Canis lupus familiaris: one gene and its partners. The protein of the gene in region 3 purifies or fractionates together with the protein of the main gene of each other region. This does not show direct contact. Links are inferred from orthologs where the notes say so. Each region holds a gene or a part of one and is shown on either strand. Other genes may lie near its edges.

Region 1 (5,065 bases), on a different chromosome or scaffold from region 3:
GGTTTAAAACTTTAGAAGAAGCAGCCCAAACAATTTGCAACGTGTGCATCGTTGACCACTCCTCCCAGCAGTGGATGAGTCCCGGTTGTTCCACATCCTCACGGAACCTTGTTACTGTCAGTTGTTTAACTTGAACCATCCCAGGAGGTGTTAGTAGTATCCTGTGGTTTTAATTTACATTTCTGTAACGACTAATGACATTGAGCATCCTTTCATGTGCTTTTTATCTTTTTTTATTTAACTTCTTTGGTGAAGTAACCATTATAATACTTTGTCCACTATTTTAAAGTTAGATTGGTTGTCTTTTTATTATCGAGTTGTGGTTCTTTACATATTCTGGTTGCAAGTAATTTTCTTGATAGGGCCTTTCTCCTATGTTGTAAAGGGCCATTTATACTTAATTTTCTGTGGGCTATATATTCCTCCCCATTGCCCATTTTTACACTAAGTTGTTGATCTATTGCTTTATAATTGTATTTTAAAAAATATATTAGAGAGATTAGCCTTTATTATACCAATTGGAAAATTGTTTCCTCATTCTGTCATCTGTCTTGATTTTACCTCAGAGAGGTTATTAAATTGGCTTTAAACAGTAGAATCTATTTCAATATTGGTTATTTAGACTATAGAGCCATCTTTAGTTTTTGGGTTTGTTTTTAAGTAGACTCAGTGCCTAGAACGGAGCCCACTGCTAGGCTTGATCTCATAACCCTGAGATCAAGACTTGAGCTGAGATCAAGAGCTGGATGCTGAACCAACCGAGCTACTCAGGTGTCCTTTGTTTTTGTTTTGCTTTTTAAAAAAGATTTATTCACTTATTTGAGAGAGAGGGAGGGAAGGGAATGGGGAGGGGCAGAGGGAGAAACTCTAAGCAGACTCCTTGCTGAGTATGGAGCCTTGGGATCATGATCCCTAGATCATGACCTAAACTGGAAGCCAAGTTAGAAGCTCAACTGACTGTGCCACCCAGGAGTGTCCCCCCGAATTTTTTTAACAAATATTTTTGTGTATTTCTTGACGAATGACAAGTCTTTATGAAAGGAAATTAATTGGTAATTGATAATATGTACACAGAACATTCAGACTTCACTTCCCATAATCAGATGTGGTGCTATTTCTTAATGAATATTGTTAGAAGACATAAATATATAATGTATGTAGTATATAAACGAAAACAAAAATGTAAAATAAAAAGTTACTAATGTCACCTATCATTTCCTCCTCAAAGAAAGTTTATTCAAGAAGATATACTGAGAAGTCAGGACATACTGAGAAGTCACAGCCTAAGGCGTGTAAGTGGGAAATTGAAAGGAAACACCAGCCATAGCTAAGGGCCGCAGACAGGTATGTGAAAAACTGATAGTAAACCACATTTAACTTATTTATAATCATCCTTATAAGTAAGCATTTAGCTTTTATTTTCAGAAACAGTAGATGTAATTAAGTGTTAGGCTGTGGCATCAGACTGCTTGGTGACTCTGGGAGCTTTTTAACTTCTTTCTGCCATAGCAAACTCTATAAGATGGAGACAAAAGTAGCTATCTTACGGGGCTGCTGGTATATTAAGCGAATATGCATAATGTGCATCAACAGAGCGCCCTGTATGTGGTGAGTTCTCAAGTATTTATAATTTTTAAGATGTCCACCCTTTTATTACCTCGTAGGGAAAATGCACAATTTGCCGACAAGGAAACTAATAGGCATTGTTAACTACCGCCCATAATAAAGAAGGATTCAATTATATGAGTGTTAATCCACATTCAATATGGTATCTGTTTATGAAGTCAATGATAAATCCTATAAAATGCATTCTTCTTCACAGGTTCTTTCTTCTGTGTCTTTTTCTGATTTTAAATTGAACCTTGGTTTAATTCAGTTGGGTGAACTCTTATAAGTGGTCACTGTTTGTCAAATATTTTACTCTGGGCCAAATCTTTCAGCATTTAAATGATCTATGTGTGTTCTCTTTCAATTTCAATTCCAATTTGTATCATAGGACAGAAGTCCTAGGAACCTTGAAAAAGAAGACACATGTGACAGTCATTTTTAATTCTGAGGGAGAATCAGGACAATATTCAAATAGGATGATATGTTTGCTCTCTAAGTACTGGAGAATGAGACCCCCACGTTTAAGTCTGGAACTCCCAACCCCACCCCCACCCCTGGTCAAGACTGGTTGATCAATCAGTCCTCTCACATGAGCAGAAACTTCCATCTATGAAGGTTAGGCAGCCTGGCCCCTAGAATCTTAGTTGATGTTTTCATGGGACAATTATTAAAAACAATTAGGTCTAACAACATGCCCAATCCAATCAAACTGAATCCAGCAAAAGAACAAAACAAAAACAAAAACAAACAAAAAAACGAACCCAAGAGATAAGAATCTTAAAATATGGTTATGTCTATCAGTGGGGAAAACATCTCCAAATGAAACCAGGAATCTCTTCAGTGGCAAAAACCGAATGTTTCCCACAAGGTTGTAGAGCAGGAAATTTTACCACTGCATAAGCAAAAAGTACTCTAAGAATCTGATAACCCTACAAGTGGTTCTTAGTTCCATAGTAAAAAATCTAGAGTAAAATTTCTGAGACAAATGGTCATCACATCTTTGATCATAACGACAGAACTGCAGAGAGCCTAGGGTTCCAGGAGTCAAGGGACTGATTATCTCTGAGTGGTAAGATAAGAAGGGATTTTCAACTTTACCCTTTTCTGTATGCTTTTCCAGATTTTTCAACATTTTATTTTCTACTATGACATACATTAATACTATCAGAAGAACAGAAACTAGAATCAATGCAATTCAGTGGTGAACCCAAGGCTAAACTGTTCAGGGAAGTAACTTGAACTTCAGTTTACTTATTTGCATAGAAGGGAGTGAGGGCTTGGAAGTCCCTTCTTATTAAAAAAATTCAAATACTCTAAAATTTTAAAGTCCACAATTTGTTTACTTGGAATAAAGTATCACATTATCCACTTGCAGAACATGAAAAAATGCTATTTCCCCACCATAACAAGCTTTCCAGATCTCCCATTTCAGATTAATTGGAAAACCAAAAGTTGAGTGACTGTTACATAATTTGATTAGAATATAGAACCAAAATAGTTGGGACAATGTTCACAACCATATTGGTGTTTAGGAAAACCCAAGTTAATAATGAAGGACAAATAAGACACGTTGAATTAAATTAGAGTAATTCTTTGGGAAAAATCAAAATTTAGTCTATTCTACTATAAATTATATAATCTGTTTACTACTAGCAACAACAAAAGAGAATTCAGAGGACCTCATTTTTACTTCGTGACTCAGTAAGTTTCTGGGGGCTGACTTACCCTGTCGGAAGCATACACAAGATCGAATAGCCCGAGAATGGTGACGGAGATTCCTATGGCTGGACCATTTATCACTGCAACCAGAGGCTTAGGAAAATCTATAAAACAGCCTACAAAATCCCTACAGAAATGGAAATACAAAACCGCATTTAAATGTCCCAAAGCATATGACTGAAGCACAAGCAAGACAGCATGGGTCTGAAATAAACTCTGGCCAGGCTGGACACCCATCTGAATGGCATTTGATGGAAGCTTACACAGTGGGTCCTATAAGCTTGACCGTGGCTCAGTCGCGCATTCTGGGCAGCCTGGTCAGGGCTGTCAGTCGCAGACTTCAAGATTAGGATGGCTGGCTGAGTATATGCTACAATATTATAGCTCAGTGGGAATTCGAAACCTTGTAGGGCAAAATGAATTAGGAAGAGAGAGGCCTTCGTGGCCTCTATGCTGAGACTATTTCACCTGTCCCGTTACCAGCAGTCATGGAAATCATGCATTCCTCTGGCCAAATGAGAATTTGCTAAATCGCTCTGCTTGCTTCATTATGAGAGAACTTTTTTTATAACTGTAGTTTACTTTAGTGCTTTGCAATCGAATCTCCTGTGGAGCAGCAGGCTGAACGGGTAACAGAAGTTAAAGTGATAGAATCAATGCCCACATATTGACAGGGGCAGTCTGGAGAAATATGCTTGTCCAAAGACACATTAATTACACTAACACACAGAAGCATTTATCTTACTTCTTCTGGACTAAATCACACTTTGATGAGTAAGAATGAGCTCTCTGGCATCAGACAAATGTCACTCTTACCTCAGTAAGATGGCACCATTTTTAGCTTCCTTCTCCATTTCACCAGGGGGAATATTCATGAAATTCATCAGATCATTCCCACTAGAGTAATAGTCACCATTTCCTGTAAATAGAATCAACAGATTCACAATTCATTCGTTCTGTAATGACTGAGTATGTACTGTGTGCCAGGCTCTACGGCACGCACTGGGAGTACACTGGTGAGCCAGCTAGGGCTCCTGTCCTAACTTATAGACTAGTAAGTAGGCTGGACATTGATTTAAAAGCATACACGCAAATGTGGAGAATGCAACTCTGATACAAAGAAGTATTTGATGATGGCACGAGGGTATGTAACAGGGGATTTGTTCTCATCAGGCAGTTTAGGGAGGGATGTTCCTAAGGAGGGAACAACTGAACTGAGAGCTGAAGGACGGGCAATGTTAGCTAGAAGAAGAGGGTTAGAAAGAGTTCATGCAGAGGGAACAGCATGTGCAAAGGTCCTGTGAAGGTGGGGACTCTGGCCAGTGTGCCACAGCAGAAAAAGCCAGAGGGGAAGCCAGTGGAGGATGAGGACAAGCAGGACGGACTGTGTGGGGTTTTGCTGACCCATGAAGTTTTGACTTTTATTCTAAGAGCCACTGAAGGTGTTTTGTGTTAAAGCATAATTTACATATAAGAACACCAGTTTTAAACGCTTGGTTCAGTGATTTTTGATGGCTGCAAATACCTGTGTGATCACCATCTGAAACAAGATGTAGACCATTTCTACCATCCCAGAAAATTCCCTGCAGCTCCTTTCCAGCTATCCCACCCCCACCCTGCCCTAGTGCAACTACCTTCTGACTTCAGTCACCACAGAATACTTTTGTCTATTTTAGAAATTCTATAAACCGAATCCTCTAATATGTGCTGTTGTGTCTGTGTGCTCTTTGCTGAACCA
Region 2 (5,065 bases), on a different chromosome or scaffold from region 3:
TACATAGGTTATAGTGGACAACATACCAAATATATTGTATGTTGGCCTTGTATATACTTCTGGAAATAATCCAATAAATTCCAGGCATTGCCCAGAAGCTTGTAAGCAGAGTATTTCTGAGAGCCAGACAGGATGTGGTAGAAACAGCAAGAGGCTGGGAATGAAAAGGCCTTGGGGCTTCTCATCCTGTCCCTGCCTCTGCTATGTGACCAGGACAGGTTGTTGCATCTCTTGGCCTAAGTTACGTAAACTGAATAATCCTTCCAGTTTTTAATTCTATGGTTCTAATTATTTAATATACTACTATTAAGTATGAAGAAGGGCCAAAAGGTACTAGGGAATATCGTTAAGCAATTGAAGGTACTTTTTGGATATAGAAACTGCATGTTTATCAAGTTCTGTATTCAAAGGAGAAAACAAAATTTATCTTTGAAGACATAGCATCTTATAACAGTTTCTTAGATTTGCTTAAGTAGTCCTCTTTGGCTTGCACCTCACAGAAGCCCTTCATGTTAAACAGATCACTCATGTGTCACAGACCAGAGAACCAGTACAGAAGGAACTGTTCCATGCTACTTGGTGACATACGGCTTGCATTACAGCTTACAGTGAGACAGGAGAAAACTGGAACATTTCTATGTACTGAAATAGAGATGAGGTGATCAAACAAGCCATGTGACAGAAGAAATTCTATCACAGTACACACCATAGAATGCAGCACAAAGGAAATGTGAATTGAAGAGGTAGAGCCATAAGGAACAGAACACCAATACTGGGTAAACACAAACCGACAGACAGCAGTCAGTTTTAAAATGCTTGCAATAACTGCATGAACCAGCAACAAGAGCTCCCAGTGCAGAAGCAGGGACGATGGGGCATGAAGGAAAATCAGCTATTCTTCTGGAGTCCTGATTACATAATCCCTATTTCCCACCTACTTGCACTCCTACCACAGATCTGACCAGGAGAGAGGGAGCTGTGAGTGCAGGGGAGGGAACAGCAGTGAAGACAAGAGAGGAGGAATTAAAAGTGAAAACAGAACATGAGGAGCACTGTTAGTTTTGAGTCTTGTGGACTCCACCGTGGTAGACATGAAAGTCAGAACACGGGATTGTATACCAACCTTCCCTCACTCTTCCCTCAAGACTTAGGCTCACTTGGATGCTTGCTAATAAGAGCTCTCTAAGTCTTTGACCAGCTGGCTTCCCCTCACTGGCCCTTGTAGCCCCACCCAGGGGTGAGGCTGATTATGAAGTAAGAGTCCATGCGTACAGGGTACACACAAGCATCTGTGTTAGTACTATGGTCACACACTCGTACTCTCCTGGGCTACAGCTGTGAATATGAAGTACACCAACAGACAAGTATCCCAGAGGCCATTCAATTTGCATGGGGAGGAAACAGCTTTTGGAATGATTAGTATTCATTGACAGCTAATTACTATAGTTAAGTGACAGAACGGTGTTTTATGAGATAGTGCTCGTAATCAGGTTTCTGTAGCCCAGTTTGACCCATATATACTTAGGGATTATCTCATGAATCCATCTTCTTCCACTGAAATAAATTAAGGATTAGTTTTCACCTGTCCCAACTATAAACAGATTTAACTTCAAAAAATATAAAACATTTCTACATAAATGGGAAAGCAAGGATAAAACAGCAATTATTTCACTTAGCTCTGCTAAGCATACTACTTTTCTTCAGATAAAGGGCTTCTGCAAAGGGCTTTGAATTACGTGAGGATATTTAAGAATCCCTATTCCTGTTAATTCCTATTATTTAAACCAGATACTATTCCTCCTCTAATTCGACACATGAATCCAGATATCTCGTCAACCAGACAATTAAAATTCCTAAACAGATACTAATTTTGAAGTCACTATTTTGTCCCAGGGTATTAATTGGAAGTGTATGTAACTTCTGAATCTTCCATTTACTAATGAGCTAAAATAATTTTATAGAAAATATTCTCTTATAGCATAACCTTTCTGTTGAATATTTTTAGAATTAACACTAGACATCTAATTTTTTTTTAAAAGGGAGTCCCAAAACATGAAATAAATATGCTAATATTATAAAAAGTCTGGATCCAAATTACCTGAAGGAGAGCCATGTGCTGAGGTCATACTTTTGACTTTGGAGTCTGATAGTCGAGAGATACTGTTAGCTCTAATTCTAGGAGAAAATTTATCTGAAGGTACTAATCTGGCTCCACTTCTAATGATGGCTTCTGCAGTCCTCGAAGAGGCACTACTTCTAGAGATCGTTGCCTCAGAGTCACTGCGAGCTGATAATGAGCCAAGCCTTGTTCGACGAGGCTGAGCCAATAAATCAATCCTAGAGATGTTACGCCTTCCTGTGGGGGGCTTTGACGTGGAACTGGTTGTGGACACTTCAGAAGCAACGGATGCTTTGTCAGCATCAGCCAGTTCACTGTCGGACACTTCGCCAAGTCGTGCTCTGCGCAAGAGGGAAGTCCTGGTAGGTCGCGGCCTTGGAAGAGTGGTTGATTTACTGGATGATCCAGGTGCTACAGGAGAAGTCTTAGATTTAGTTACTTTACTTCCTTCCAGTTTGGAATGTGCATGCTCATCAGTTGAGGTAAGTGGAGTCCTGGCATGAGATTTACAAGAGTAAGTTTCCTGATCAGATGACATAATATCAGAGATAGCAGAATGAGGTACACTAGAGGTTTGGTCATCATCTGTCAAATCTACTGAAGGTTGTCTCATTCTTCCACTGGACTGTACAAATTTACGGCCATCCGCTCTTGAGCCTACATCTGACGAACGACTTTTTGTTTTCTTCTCAATTTTCTCCCTAGCACCTGAAGATGATGATTTTGTAACATCTTTGGAAGGAGAACCTGTGGAACATCTATCTTTATAGAGACTTGTGAAACTCTTTCGCTTTTGGGTTGACTTTCTTTCAGTCTCTCCTGTGACCAGACTGATTGTACTAGCTGTGTCCACATCAGATTCTGGTGAGATAGAGTTGTCTCTATTATAACTGGGAGTATCTGGGCCTTCATCAGTTTTATTATCTTCACGCAGTTTGGCTTCCAGAAAAGCCATCACTGCTTCTGTGTCTTTCAGAATAAGAGTTGTGTCCATACTGGAATCAGTATCCATAGAGTCACTTCTTTCTCGTATCCTGCTGGCAGCTGTCAATGCCAGAGAAGGGGGTGTGGATGAAGTCTGCTTATTTATATGGGGAATAAGTTCTATGGGTATGTTGGGACTAGGTTTCTCTATGGTGAAGCTTCCTTGTCGCACTAAGGACTTTGAGGATTCCTTCTTGTCTCCACCTTTTGAACTCTGACCTTTGAGAACATCCTCAGCTTTTCTTCGCTTGCTCTCATTTTGTGTCACCCTTTCTCCTTTGCTGGTAGAGTGTCCTGGAACTTTTTCTTGAGGTTGTGACTCTTGTTTAAAAGATTCCTCCCGGCACCTATCTATCTGACCTGAAACATTTTTGGAAGCAGACAACTTGCTAGGTGTCCACTGTGCCTGCTCCTTTTGTTCCTGTTGAATTTTGGCCAATGTCTGCTTTACCACAGAAGCTTCCTTATCAGTATCACTTTTGTCCTTTCCAGAAGAGCTGCCCAAGTGAAGAAGGGTTTTATTATCTCCGCCAGGCCTAACAGCTTCGCCGTTCACTGCCCTGCTCATCTTACTCAGGGGTCGGTCAGCATCTTGTTTATCCTTCTGATATGCCTGTGTAGGAGCTTCTTTCTCCTGAAGTTCTGTGTCTTGTTTTTCTCCAATCTCTGACCTCTGTGTTATAACCTTGGCTCTGGAGCTCTCAAGAGACTTTTCTTCATTTGGAAGCTGGGGAAGGGTGCGTCTCCTTCTCTCTCCCTGACTAGCCAGGGAAGTTGCCGAGCCAGTACTTCGTAATGAAATGCCAGACTCGCTGATATCTGTATCTATACAATAAAACCACAAAAAAGAAATGTATTAGAGCAAAAAAGTACAAATAAAAATAATATCATATCACATTAGATTTTGCAGTGGAAGCTAAGAAATGGCTTAGTGTACAAGGAAACTCTGAATAAACATGCCAGCATCGTGATAGAGCCATTTCAAGAGCAAGTACAATGCCACGATACAAACAGGCAGATTACTAACAGGGGTAGTCAAAAAGGCAGTTTTATGACATGAAAATTAGGGTCATTTGTTGCTCTTTCTCTTTCAATATACTTTATGGCAGGGAAGGTCACTGTGTTTATTCTTGTTTTTATAAGGTCCATGAAATGTTGCTCAAGAAAATGTTTTGTAGAATTGCACAGAGAATGCCTAATAAACAGTTTCAATCACATAGTACAGAAGAAGAATATATCTAGGGGCACCTAGGTCACTCAGTGGGTTAAGCATCTGACTCTTGATCGCAGAGTCATGAGTTCAAGTTCCACGTGGTTTTTTAATGAGCATTGTAATCTATCTGAAAGAATGACAAGTTTGGATTTCCTAAGTAAAACAGAAAATGCAAGACTTTAGAAGGTTTTCTAAAAAAAAAAAAAAAATTAACTCTGTTAAAAGGATTGTTTTTAAAGATTTTATTTATTACATAGCTCGGAACAGGGGTAGGAGCAGAGGAACAAGCAGACTCCCTCCTGAGCGCAGAGCCTACTGTGGAGCATCTGATCCTAAGACCCTGAGACCATGACCTGAGCTGAATTAAGAGTCAGAAGCTTCGTCAACTGAGCCTCCCAGGTACCCCAAGATTTTGAAAAATTTTAAGTGTGAAACAAAGTAACAGAACTTGTTGTACTTTTATAAACTGAGGGATTTTAAAATTATGGTGTTCTGGTATATTAACACCTCATATAGAAACACATGATCACTTTTTCTTTTCACAGTTACATAGAAAACAGTGAGAATATATACACTTTGATATTTCTATGTGAGAGAATTTGAGAATACCTGAGGATTTTGCTGACTACTATACTTGGAATATATTTCTGAGAAAAGGGACATCTGTTTAGGGAAATAAAAACTAACATATAAAGTATTCTCATCTTTGAGGGTAAGTGGAGGCAAGATACCAAGACCTAACTTCTGTG
Region 3 (5,065 bases):
TCTTCAATAATGCTTTTCTGTGTACCCTTATCTTTTTTTTTAATTAATATTTTTTTGTAAGTAGATCCTGCTCCATTCCCTTTCTTCTGCTCTTAGCACAATTTGGGAGTGGTGAGAGGGTCATTCTAAGATTGGTTAGAGAGAAAAACAGTAACGTCAAAAGGGAGAAAAGACCTAATTCACCACCATGTCAATTATCAAACTAAAAAATCTTTAATACCCTATTTCCGAATGGGAATTCCTCTGCCTACTTTTCTAAGTATTCTGGCTCCATCTTAAGTAGTCATAAGTATGTTCATTATTTGACAGCTTTTTTCATCCAACTTTTCTCACTAATTCATGCATGTACATGATTTCTTTCATCAATCTTTTCTCACTGATTCAGGCTCATACCTTCATTTATATAGTACCATTCTCTCTCTCTTCCTCCCACCAAAATTCTTCACTATTCCTATGTAATGAAAAATCTTTTTACTCCATTATACCTTTTGTTTTAGCCATCATTGATGAAGACTCTAAGCTTGTAGCTCTTATACTCTGCACTAAATAATTTTATACAGACTCCTACTTTGCTTTACAACACTTGATATTTTTCATGGACTATTCACCCTTTCCTATGTTGGACTAAATTCTCTCTCATACTTCTATAGACTCCCTCATAGCACCAAACTCAGCAAAAAATTCCTTGTTTGGTTGTTTCTGAAAGGTCACAGCAGTCAGATGACAGGATATGGCAGTTCAGACATCAGAGATGATAGAGGACAAAGAATTACTGGATTTCCAATGACAGCTAAAAATTTTCACTAAGAGTAACAAACACTGACAACACTGGGCAACTCAGGCATCATTTAAGATTACCAACACGTATTGTGAGTCTAAAAAATAAAAAATTATGTTTAAGAAGAAAAACAAAATAACACTAGAATTTTGACTAAATTTGCTGAGTGAATATATTCAGTGAATATACGGTTTCTAAACTTTTTAAAATATTAAAACACCATTTTATCTTTTCATTTTAGTATCAGACTATAATAAATTATGTTAAATCTTATATAAATCTTGATTCATAGATACATACAAAATTATTTCTCTTTGAGGTAATTTTTTCCAAATATTTTTTTTCCAAATATTTTTTTTCTCCAAATATTTTAAAATTTCTAACCTGCAAAGAGGGTTTTACCAGTCAGCATTTCAGCAAAGATGCAGCCTGCAGCCCACATATCAATGGCTTTAGTATAATTATTAGGAGACAGTAAAAGACGTGGAGACCTGTACCATTTAGTAACCAATCCTTCAGAAAGATGACCCTGAAAAAAAAGAAAACACACATACTTTAGTATTTTACTTTAGCTGAAGAACAGTACATAAAACTTGACTCATTAAAGAATCCCTGATCTTAAAAAAAAAAAAAAAAAAAAGTGATATCCTAAAACAATACAGTTGATTTATATGCCTATTTTCGAGGCTCTTGCACTTTTCAGGCTCAATAGGGGGTTAAACTCTCCCTGGGATATATGATCCATAAGATGATGTTCACATGAAGTCTGCTGACCAAAATATACTATATATACTATACAAGATTAATGCTGACTATATCACATATTCAAAGCATGTTTCGAAGAGAAGCTATTTTTCACTTCAAGTCTTAAGTTACTTGAGGAGGAGGGATGCTTTAAATCAATGAGGGAAAGGTAAAAAAGAGCACCTAGGGTGCTACTTATAAACCAATGCCAACCTCCTGACAACGCAGGGGACCTGGCTCTATTATATATCCCATTCCTAATCAATTTTACTACTTTACGGTTATAAAGCACTTAACAAAAACAGTTATATACGTATACGACCTTACTTCGTCCTTAAAACAGGGTCAAAACAACCCTGAAAAATTATGAAGGTAGATATTATGCCATTTTAGAGGGACGGTAACACTCATAGATTAAGGAATCTACTTAAGGTCAGAAATGGAACTCAATTTTAACTAGTTTAACTCTTAGTTCAGTGTTCTATCCACAATACTTCATTGTTACCCATAAAAAAGATGTGATGGTTGTCCATTTCATTTTAATACTATATTTCTACATTAAAGTTTTAAAAAAATTAAGTTACACTTAATGTGAGATGCTAACATGTGAATGAAAAGATCTGTTTGTTTAGGCATGTACTATGGGAATCCAAGCAAGCAGGGAGCTCCAAGGGGTTCTTTATAACCAGAGGAGTTCCACTTTAATATTTTAAACAGCAGGATCCCACAGACAATTTCATTTGAAAACTAAAAGACCAAAGTTTGGCTCAGAAAACAATTTACTTCTTATATAAAGTTAAATTGTTACCTAAAGTACAGTTACTATGGATCCCTTAAGCTATTCTTACTGCCCATTTTATCTCTATACCAAGTTAGATATCAAACTAAATTAAATTTGCCTAAACAAAGCATAACAGAACAGTAAAGACTCAAAAGGACAAAAGACCTAAATATTGAAATAGCATCCCCTCTTACCTTCGGATAGGACCACAATTTTGCCCTAAACACATAAGAATTTATCTCACTTTTAAATAAGGGAGAGTTTCAATTATAATAAATAACCATATACTTTTAGGATCCCACTCCAACTTCCTTTAAAAAAAAAAAAAAGATGTATTTATTTATTTATGATAGACACACACACACACACACAGAGAGAGAGAGAGAGGCAGAGACACAGGCAGAGGGAGAAGCAGGCTCCATGCTAGAAGCCCGAGGTGGGACTCGATCCTGGGACTCCAGGATCACTCCCTGGGCCAAAGGCAGTGCCAAACTGCCAAGCCATCCAGGGATCCCCCCAACTTCCTTTTAAACATATGGAGATTCTGAATGAAAGTAGATCTGTATCAGAAAAAAAGGTACTACATAAAGTTTAATACAATTAATGGAGAAAAAAAATCTGTCACAGTATATAAAGAAAATACAAGTACCTAATTCCTGATGATGTACACCAGTTTAAAGGTCTGTCTCAGCTAGCTTTCCACATACCTTATGGGAATAATGGGGATCCATGATCCGTGCAAGACCGAAGTCACCTATCTTCAGCACCAAGTCTTCAGTATTAATGAAAAGATTAGCTGGTTTGAGATCTCTGTGCAGTACGTTTGCAGAGTGAATATATTTGAGCCCACGTAGCAGCTGATACATGAAAAGCCTGGCATGCTCTTCCAGTAAAGGGCCCTGCTCCAGCACATTAGCCAAGTCTGTCTCCATGTACTCCTGAACAATGTAAACACTGTTCAGTTCAGTAAGAGAGCCCACATCGTCTGTTAACTGGCTTCCGCTAGGACCAAGAATTTCAAACACTTTCACAATGTTATCATGGTCAAGTCTTCTAATAATTTTGATTTCACGTAGAGCATGTTTGACACTCTGGGGATCAGTAAGGACAATTTTCTTGATGGCTACTCTTTTGTCACAGTCATTGTCTACAGCAGAAAAAACCAAGCCATTGCCTCCACAACCCAATGGTTTTAAGTCCATATATCTAGAGCCCAGATCAAAACCATGAATGTTCATGAGACTTTCAAATTTCTCTGCCATTTTGAAACCTTTACTATTGCCTTTTTTTCCTTTCGAATTGTTGAACTTGTGTAAACAAGGAAGAAAACTGACATCAAAAGGAAAGATCTTTCAAAAAAGGAAAAGAAAAATAATTTTGCTTCCACAGCAAGATGATTTCTTGATGTTCATTGCATATGCCAACCAGGCCCGTTGAGTTCCCCTTAGATTTAAAGCTCAAAAAGCTCTACTCATATTGAGAATTAAAAAGGTTGCAGTACTCATAGTTCAAGAAAGGGGCAGCAACTCTGCAGACATTTAAAGAAAACACTCAAGAAACTCAAACGGAATGAAATGACATACTATGCACTCAGATTTAACTGTGCTAAACGATTTAACATTTAACAAAAATGTGAATAAATATGCACACAACAGGCTTCTATGAACATTCTCCTCACAGTGCAGATACATTCAGTGTTGGACTGGTCCTGAGCAGCATCATTCTAAGGTGCTGATAAGCACTATTTCCGTTTTGCCTCTTCTCTTCCTTTGTTGCTGTATATTTCAACAGGAAGCCCTGGTGGCTGTTGGTTAACAGAAGATGTCTTTTGTTAGTGATCAGGTGGCTCCAGCTCACCACAATCACAATCAAAGCTACCGTCCATCTTACTCTGATAAAACCTAGAGGATGAGAAAAAAAGAAGGAAAAGAGTCACCACTGCAGGAAATACTAAGTACTCTTCAACTTTGTAAAATGACACGAACTGGGCATTTAGCTATAAACGACTACTGGTACATTCAACTTATTTATAGTTACTAAATGGAAAGATGACCCTCAATCAAAAATAGCTATGCATGTTGTAAGCAATTCACATGTACTAGGCTCAGACTCTAGGTCCCACCATACTAGATTCTTTGTAATATTTAGTCATTGGGTTGTAACATTTCTTAAATGCCAATAAGCAAAGGAAAGAAGGTTCACGGCATTTTTACAGAATCTTTAGAATTTTTTTTTTTTTGAGGAGTACAACATGAGTACCATTTCTCTAAAAAAAACAACAACAACATAATAATAAGCCTGCAAAGGGTTAGTTCCTTAAAGAACATGTTTACTTATTAACTATGCTGATCAACATCCAATGGACAAAAATCTAGCAGTACAAATGAGAAATCTGCAGAGTATGCTCTTCAATTTACAAAAGAGTGAACTTGGGGGTGCACAGTGGCTCAATTGGTTAAGCATCTGACTTTGGCTCAGGTCATGATCTCAAGGTCCTGGGATCAAGCACCGTGTCTGGCTCTCTCCTCCCACCAGTGAGTTGGTTTCCCCCTCTCTGCACTCACATGCGCTCTCTAAACTCAAATAAATAAAAATCTGGGACGCCTGGGTGGCTCAGTGGTTGAGTGTCTGTCTTTGACTCAGGTCGTGATCCAGGGGTCCTGAGATCAAATCCCGCACTGGATTCCCTGCAGGGAGCCTGTTTCTCTCTTTGCCTATGTCTCTGCCTTCTCTGTGTCTCTCATTAATAAAAAAAAAAGTCT
Region 4 (5,846 bases), on a different chromosome or scaffold from region 3:
TCTCTCTCCCTCTGCCCACCCCCTCCTGCTCTCACACTTACTCTCTCTCTAAAAAAAACCAAAAAACAAAAAACAAAAAAAATCCTAGCTCTGCCATTTTCCACTGTGAGAACCGGGCAAGTTTCTTCCTCTCTCTGGGCCTCAGTTGCTTCACACATAAAATGGGGGACGATAATTGCACTTATCTGGAAGGGTTCTGGGGAGAATTAATTAATATGTGGACAGGTCCAGACACTCTGCAGATGTTAAATACGTGTGGGCTACTTCCCTCCTTTTATTTATTTATTTATTTATTTATTTATTTATTTATTTATTTATTTAATTAGTGGTTCTATTCTATCATAGGAACTACTAATTACATTGAGTTTCTTCTTTCTGGCCTTGCAAGTCTTGCTGTTGAAAATGAGAGCAGATGGCTTCAGCCAGTTAGGAACTGAGATGATGGCCCCAGGCCTGACACAGCCACTGATGAAGCCTAGTCTTTCGTTTCTCTGGCACGAGCTCCGTGAAGAGGAGGGCTGAGAACCAGGGGCTACCTTCCTGTTTCTAGGTCCAGGGCCCCCAGGAAGGGGCTTGCGCTGTGGTGTCTGTCATCCAAACAGATCAACGAGGGATCCCTGGGTGGCGCAGCGGTTTAGCGCCTGCCTTTGGCCCAGGGTGTGATCCTGGAGACCCGGGATCGAATCCCATGTCGGGCTCCCGGTGCATGGAGCCTGTTTCTCCTTCTGCCTGTGTCTCTGCCTCTCTCTCTCTCTCTGTGACTATCATAAATTTAAAAAAAAAAAAAAAAAAGATCAACGAGAGGAGAATGAAGAGAGGGGACACGTAAAGATGTTAAGAGGGGAGACAACGAGAAATAGCCTGTTTACTGTCTGTCTTCCCCACTGAGCTGGCCACTCCGTGATGCCAGGGCCCGGGGCTGCCTCGGTCACCACTGTGTCCCCAGCAGCAGGCTGGGCCCTGTGCAGAGAGCAATGTACCCACCTACTGCTTCACTTCTGGAATGGAAGCTGCCCACATAGGACAACTAGCATGTTTTGGGTCGACAAGATATAAACCACCACCTGATGGCACAGGGTAGATTCTGGAGGAATTTGTCACTTAAAAGAAGGGACTAGCACCGTGAGAATTAGTTGGAGTTCTTTAAAAAAAAATTTTTTTTAAAGATTTATTTATTTGTTTGAGAGAGGGAGAGAGAAAGAACATGAGCGAGAGGGGCAGAGGGAGAGAGAATCTCAAGCTGACTCCACACTGGGTTTGGAGTCTGAGCGGGGCTCAAGTTTGCGGTCCTGATATCAGGACCTGAGCTGAAACCAAGAGTCATACCCTTAATCGACTGTGTCACCTAGGCACCCCGAGAGTTAGCTATTTTTAAAGTTTCTAGACTAAGGGGAGGCTGGAAGTTGTGCCTGAAGAACCAGAAAACAGAGTCCAGGGTAACCGTAGCTGCTGGAAAGTGAGGGGGGATATTCCAGAAAAAAGCGAGCCAGAGAAAGGAGCCCCAAATTCTATGGACCATCTCTGCCCAAATCTCTTGCTGACCCATGAACCATGCATGCAGCCCAGCAAGAGATCTAAAAACTGATTCCAACTAAGCTGCTAGAACAGGAAATTCAAGTCTCCAGAGGTAGAGAATAGGACCCAGAGTTTCCACATCGTCTTTCCATATCCCAATATCCAGGATACAACCCAGAATTTATTCCAAATGCAAACAAACAGGAGAATGAGACTCAGTCTTTCAAGAGAAAAGATAATGAACATAGACTGACCCCAATGTGACCCAGATGTTGGAACCAGGAGACAAGAGTTTTAAAGCAGTGGTTAGAACTAGGAGCAACAGTGCAAAGAACATGCTTGTGATCAATAACAAGCTACAGTAGAGAAACAGCAAATATAAAAAAAGAACCCAGTGAAAATTTGTGAACCAAAAACCACAGTATCTAAAATTTTAAAAATCACTGGATAGGCTTCACAGTAGAATTAGGATGACAAAGGATTCAGGGAATTTGGTCAATGGAAATTATCCAGCCTGAAGAACAGATGCGTGGGACAATTAAAAGTCCTAACAGACATGTAACTGGAAATCAGTGCGTGTGTGTTGAAAGCATGTTATTATAATACACTTTAGTGACATTAAAAAACAAACAAAAACAGACTGATAAGTTAAGGGCCTTGGTCAAGGCCACAAATCAGACTTCAAAGCTCATCATTCAGTCATGTTCTATTGGACTCATTTTGGTATTTGAATGTTTTATTTTTATTTTAAAGATTTTATTTGGGATCCCTGGGTGGCGCAGTGGTTTAACGCCTGCCTTTGGCCCAGGGCGCGATCCTGGAGACCTGGGATCGAATCCCACGTCAGGCTCCCGGTGCATGGAGCCTGCTTCTCCCTCTGCCTATGTCTCTGCCCCGCCACCCCCCCCCCCCCCCCGGTGACTATCATAAATAAGTAAAAATTAAAAAAAAAAGATTTATTAAAAAAATAAAATAAAGATTTTATTTATTTATTTATCTATTTATTCATTCATTCATTCATGAAAGACAGAGAGAGGCAGAGACATAGGCAGAGGGAGAAGCAGGTTCCCTGCAGGGAGCCCGATGTGGGACTCGATCCCAGGACCCCGGGTCATGACCTGAGCTGAAGGCAGATGCTCAACCACTGAGCCACCCAGGCCCCCCGTGGTATTTGAATGTTTTAAATTAAAGAAAGAAAAAGATACAAGTGGAAGTTAGAAGCTGGAACCCTAGTTAGGAAGCACTGCTCTAATGCCAGGAGCAGGGGAGACTGGCAGGGGTGAGGGTGGAGAGCAGCTGGTACCTGCAGTGAATACTTTTCCTGCACCAGAGATCACCACAGCCCGACAGTCAGGGTCTTGTGCTATCTTGTTGAAGCACTCCACCATCTCTCTGGGCGGGGCAAGGAGAGAAGGGCTGTGTCTTGGAAGGGTATCCCGTGCCCTCCTGAACTCTGTCCCCCACACCCCACTCCTGCCCACTCCCTCAGCCCCTGCCTCCTCCTGCAGGCAGGCCTCCATGATCCGCAGGCCCTACCTCCAGAAGGCCTTGTTCATGGCATTCCTCTTCTCAGGCCGGTTCAGCTGCACGTGCAGGATGTGCTTCTGGGCAGCTGTCACCCGAAGGGACTCATAGCTGTGGCCTGGTGCTTCTCTGGGGGCTGCTGTGGAGGCCTCATCTTGCGCAGCAGAGCTCAAGGGGCGAAGGCAAAGGCTGAGGCCCTGCGGGGTGGGCGCCACCAGTCCTGGGGAGATAAAGGAAAAGAAGAGGCTTTGAGGTGAGGACCCCAGGTTGGGGACACAGTGCCTTCAAGAGCAGAAGGGCCCCATTTCCTTTCAGTGATGTTAGACTGGGGAACACGGGTCCCTAAGAAACCTGTTTAGGAGGATACAAACTTTCAGATTAGGAGGGCACTTATCAGTGGCCTCAGTGAGAGGACTTCTTCAGACCCTTGATCGTGGGGCTGACCCTACATGGGGAACGCGAAGCGACCCAATTGTAAGGCACAGGCTTACAGAATTAGGGCGCTCTTTGGTTGGGAGCATATGCACCCCCTGTGTTTAAGGTGCTCAGCCCGGCACCCGCGACAGGCCTCCCCATCCAATGGCGCTTATGACGGCACGACGGAGCAACGGACTCCAGAGGTCGAGGTGACTCACGCCGCATTAGCAGATCTCGGAGACTGCGAGAAGCCGCCATCGCTGCCGCCATCGCAACCCAGGAGCTAGCGGAACTAGCCCGACAGACAGGAAAAAGCCAAGGGGGCGGGTACGACGCCACCATGTTTGGCGAGGGCACCGATGCCGCAGCCTGATGGCGCTGGCGCCCATACCTCCGCCATCTTTATTAAGGGCAACCGGAAACAGGCGTTTAGTAATGCGCCCTTTGCCCCAGTGGGAACCTGGCGTATTGTTGCTGCTGCACGTTTCAGCCCAGCGCTGTTGCATAATGGTGGGAGACACCGGGGACTGTTGAAAATGTTCAAGGACATAATGGCAGAGTAACTGCAGCCTTGCAATTTTGTCATCATGCACTGGGAACTTGTTAACTGGGGAAAAAAAAAGTTATCTAGTACTGAGCTTACCCTTGTAAGAGAATGAAAATATAGAGGAGCCAACATTGCGCGCTTTGCAATCTGTTTGAACTCGCACACCACCAAGAGTTCGCATTATTTTTGATTGTGCCCTGAGGAAATTGGAGCTTGGGGGAGGGAAAGTCACTAGTTGAAGGTATCTGGGCTTCAGGAGTGCCAAAGAGGGCATCTATGCGGCTCTGAAGTTCATGTGCTTAAAATAATTTCTTTAAAAAATAAAACTCCTCAGAAAAAGCCAGTTACCCAAGAACCTCAAAAGTGCCATAAAATTGCTTAAGCATGCTCTTTAGGGAATTGTGCACCAAGACAGAAGCCTCCAGGCAAATGGAATTGTAGGAAATACCTTGCCTTCTTAAATGTGTCATAGACGGGTTAAGCTCTTTTGGCAAACTTCCATCAACAGAGAACTGTTTATGGTTATCTATATAATGGGAAGCTCTGAAGCCACTGTGCAGACGCCAGGATAGGAAACAATTTTAAATTTCTTTAGAATTTATTTCTTATGATTTTATTTGAGAGCAAGTGTGTGATAGCACAAACAGGAGAGAGGGAGCAGCAGACTCCCCACTGAGCAGGGAGCCAGATGCTGGATCTCAAGACCCCGGGATCATGACCTGAGCTGAAGATGTTTAACAGACTGAGCCACCTGGGTGGCCCCTCTTTAGGATGTTTTAAAGTAATCTCTATACCCAGCATGGGGTTCAAACTCACAACCTGGAGATAGAGTCATATGCTTGACCAATTGAGCCAGCCAGGCACCCGAATAGAATTAGCATGATTGGTTGGTGTAAAAAAGATGGTTATATATGGCTGTTTGTGCATGGAGTACAATACATACACAGAGGATCTTCAAAACTGACAAGGGATAAAACTGAGTGCTGGGGGATCCCTGGGTGGCTCAGCGGCTTAGCGCCTGCCTTTGGCCCAGGGCGCGATCCTGGAGTCCCGGGATCGAGTCCCGCATCGGGCTCCCGGCATGGAGACTGCTTCTCCCTCTGCCTGTATCTCTGCCTCTCTCTCTCATTGAATAAATAAAATCTTAAAACAAGACTGGGTGCTGGGAGACAAAACGGGAAAACATTCTTACCCCCATGATTTACTTGAAAACAAATCCTAGAGGACTTAGAAGTTTATGGCTGCAAGGCAACTGTAGTTTCTCCTTTGCAAAGGTTGTTTGAAACCCTGGTGAAGCAGTTTGTTCGTTCCATAAATGCCATGTGACTTCAGATGTTAATAATCAGTTTAAATGACTTCACAACAAATTACCAAAGTGGGTTTTCTTTTCTAAGATTGTTTTTAAGAAATCGAACTCACAAGCCTGAGATCAAGAGTAGCATGCTCCACTGACTGAGCTCACCAGGCGCCAAAGTGAGCTTCCAGGTGCATATGCATCAAAAAGGCACAATGAGCTGACCTTTGCACTTGTTCTCTGCAGACTATTTCTTCCTTCCAGCATGAATCAAGGTCTTTAAAGTAGGTTCCTTCCACCTACAGCCCTCCCTCCCCCACGCCCCACTCCAACCATATACACATGTTCCCATTTACCACAATCTCAAGAGTTCTATCACATTGCAATTGTTAGCTTTCTAAAGTAGACTCTGCATCCAGTGTGGAACCCAACGCCAGGCTTGAACTCATGACCCTTGAAACCAAGACCTGAGATCGGGTCTGATGCTCAACCATCAGACTGAGCCTGAGCCACCCAGGAAGTATCTTTTAAGTCAGCAATTCCAGTGTT

The links.
Region 1: the proteins of MAPK6 (region 3) and ECI2 purify together in Homo sapiens (affinity purification with mass spectrometry; 3 studies listed by BioGRID and IntAct, with this or other methods). This does not show direct contact. The link is inferred for Canis lupus familiaris from reciprocal best matches to the Homo sapiens genes MAPK6 and ECI2.
Region 2: the proteins of MAPK6 (region 3) and CEP170 purify together in Homo sapiens (affinity purification with mass spectrometry; 3 studies listed by BioGRID and IntAct, with this or other methods). This does not show direct contact. The link is inferred for Canis lupus familiaris from reciprocal best matches to the Homo sapiens genes MAPK6 and CEP170.
Region 4: the proteins of MAPK6 (region 3) and delta(3,5)-Delta(2,4)-dienoyl-CoA isomerase, mitochondrial-like purify together in Homo sapiens (affinity purification with mass spectrometry; 3 studies listed by BioGRID and IntAct, with this or other methods). This does not show direct contact. The link is inferred for Canis lupus familiaris from reciprocal best matches to the Homo sapiens genes MAPK6 and ECH1.

The regions. Positions count from the first base shown.
Region 1 is NC_049256.1:5,644,828-5,649,892, forward strand, and holds part of ECI2 (enoyl-CoA delta isomerase 2), read right to left. Parts: intron 4,247-5,065; coding exon 4,144-4,246; intron 3,455-4,143; coding exon 3,334-3,454; intron 1,345-3,333; exon of another isoform or gene 1,328-1,344; coding exon of another isoform or gene 1,229-1,327; intron 1-1,228. Other genes in the region: C35H6orf201 (uncharacterized protein C6orf201 homolog), read left to right, coding at 1,229-1,327. UniProt on the Homo sapiens protein: Able to isomerize both 3-cis and 3-trans double bonds into the 2-trans form in a range of enoyl-CoA species. Has a preference for 3-trans substrates.
Region 2 is NC_049228.1:34,236,530-34,241,594, forward strand, and holds part of CEP170 (centrosomal protein of 170 kDa), read right to left. Parts: intron 4,716-5,065; exon of another isoform or gene 4,574-4,715; intron 3,929-4,573; coding exon 2,099-3,928; exon of another isoform or gene 1,299-2,098; intron 1-1,298.
Region 3 is NC_049251.1:18,012,352-18,017,416, reverse strand, and holds part of MAPK6 (mitogen-activated protein kinase 6), read right to left. Parts: intron 4,205-5,065; 5' UTR 3,566-4,204; coding exon 3,011-3,565; intron 1,308-3,010; coding exon 1,163-1,307; intron 1-1,162. UniProt on the Homo sapiens protein: Atypical MAPK protein. Phosphorylates microtubule-associated protein 2 (MAP2) and MAPKAPK5.
Region 4 is NC_049222.1:115,068,952-115,074,797, reverse strand, and holds the start of delta(3,5)-Delta(2,4)-dienoyl-CoA isomerase, mitochondrial-like, read right to left. Parts: upstream 3,843-5,846; 5' UTR 3,799-3,842; coding exon 3,675-3,798; intron 3,260-3,674; coding exon 3,052-3,259; intron 2,908-3,051; coding exon 2,819-2,907; intron 1-2,818. UniProt on the Homo sapiens protein: Isomerization of 3-trans,5-cis-dienoyl-CoA to 2-trans,4-trans-dienoyl-CoA.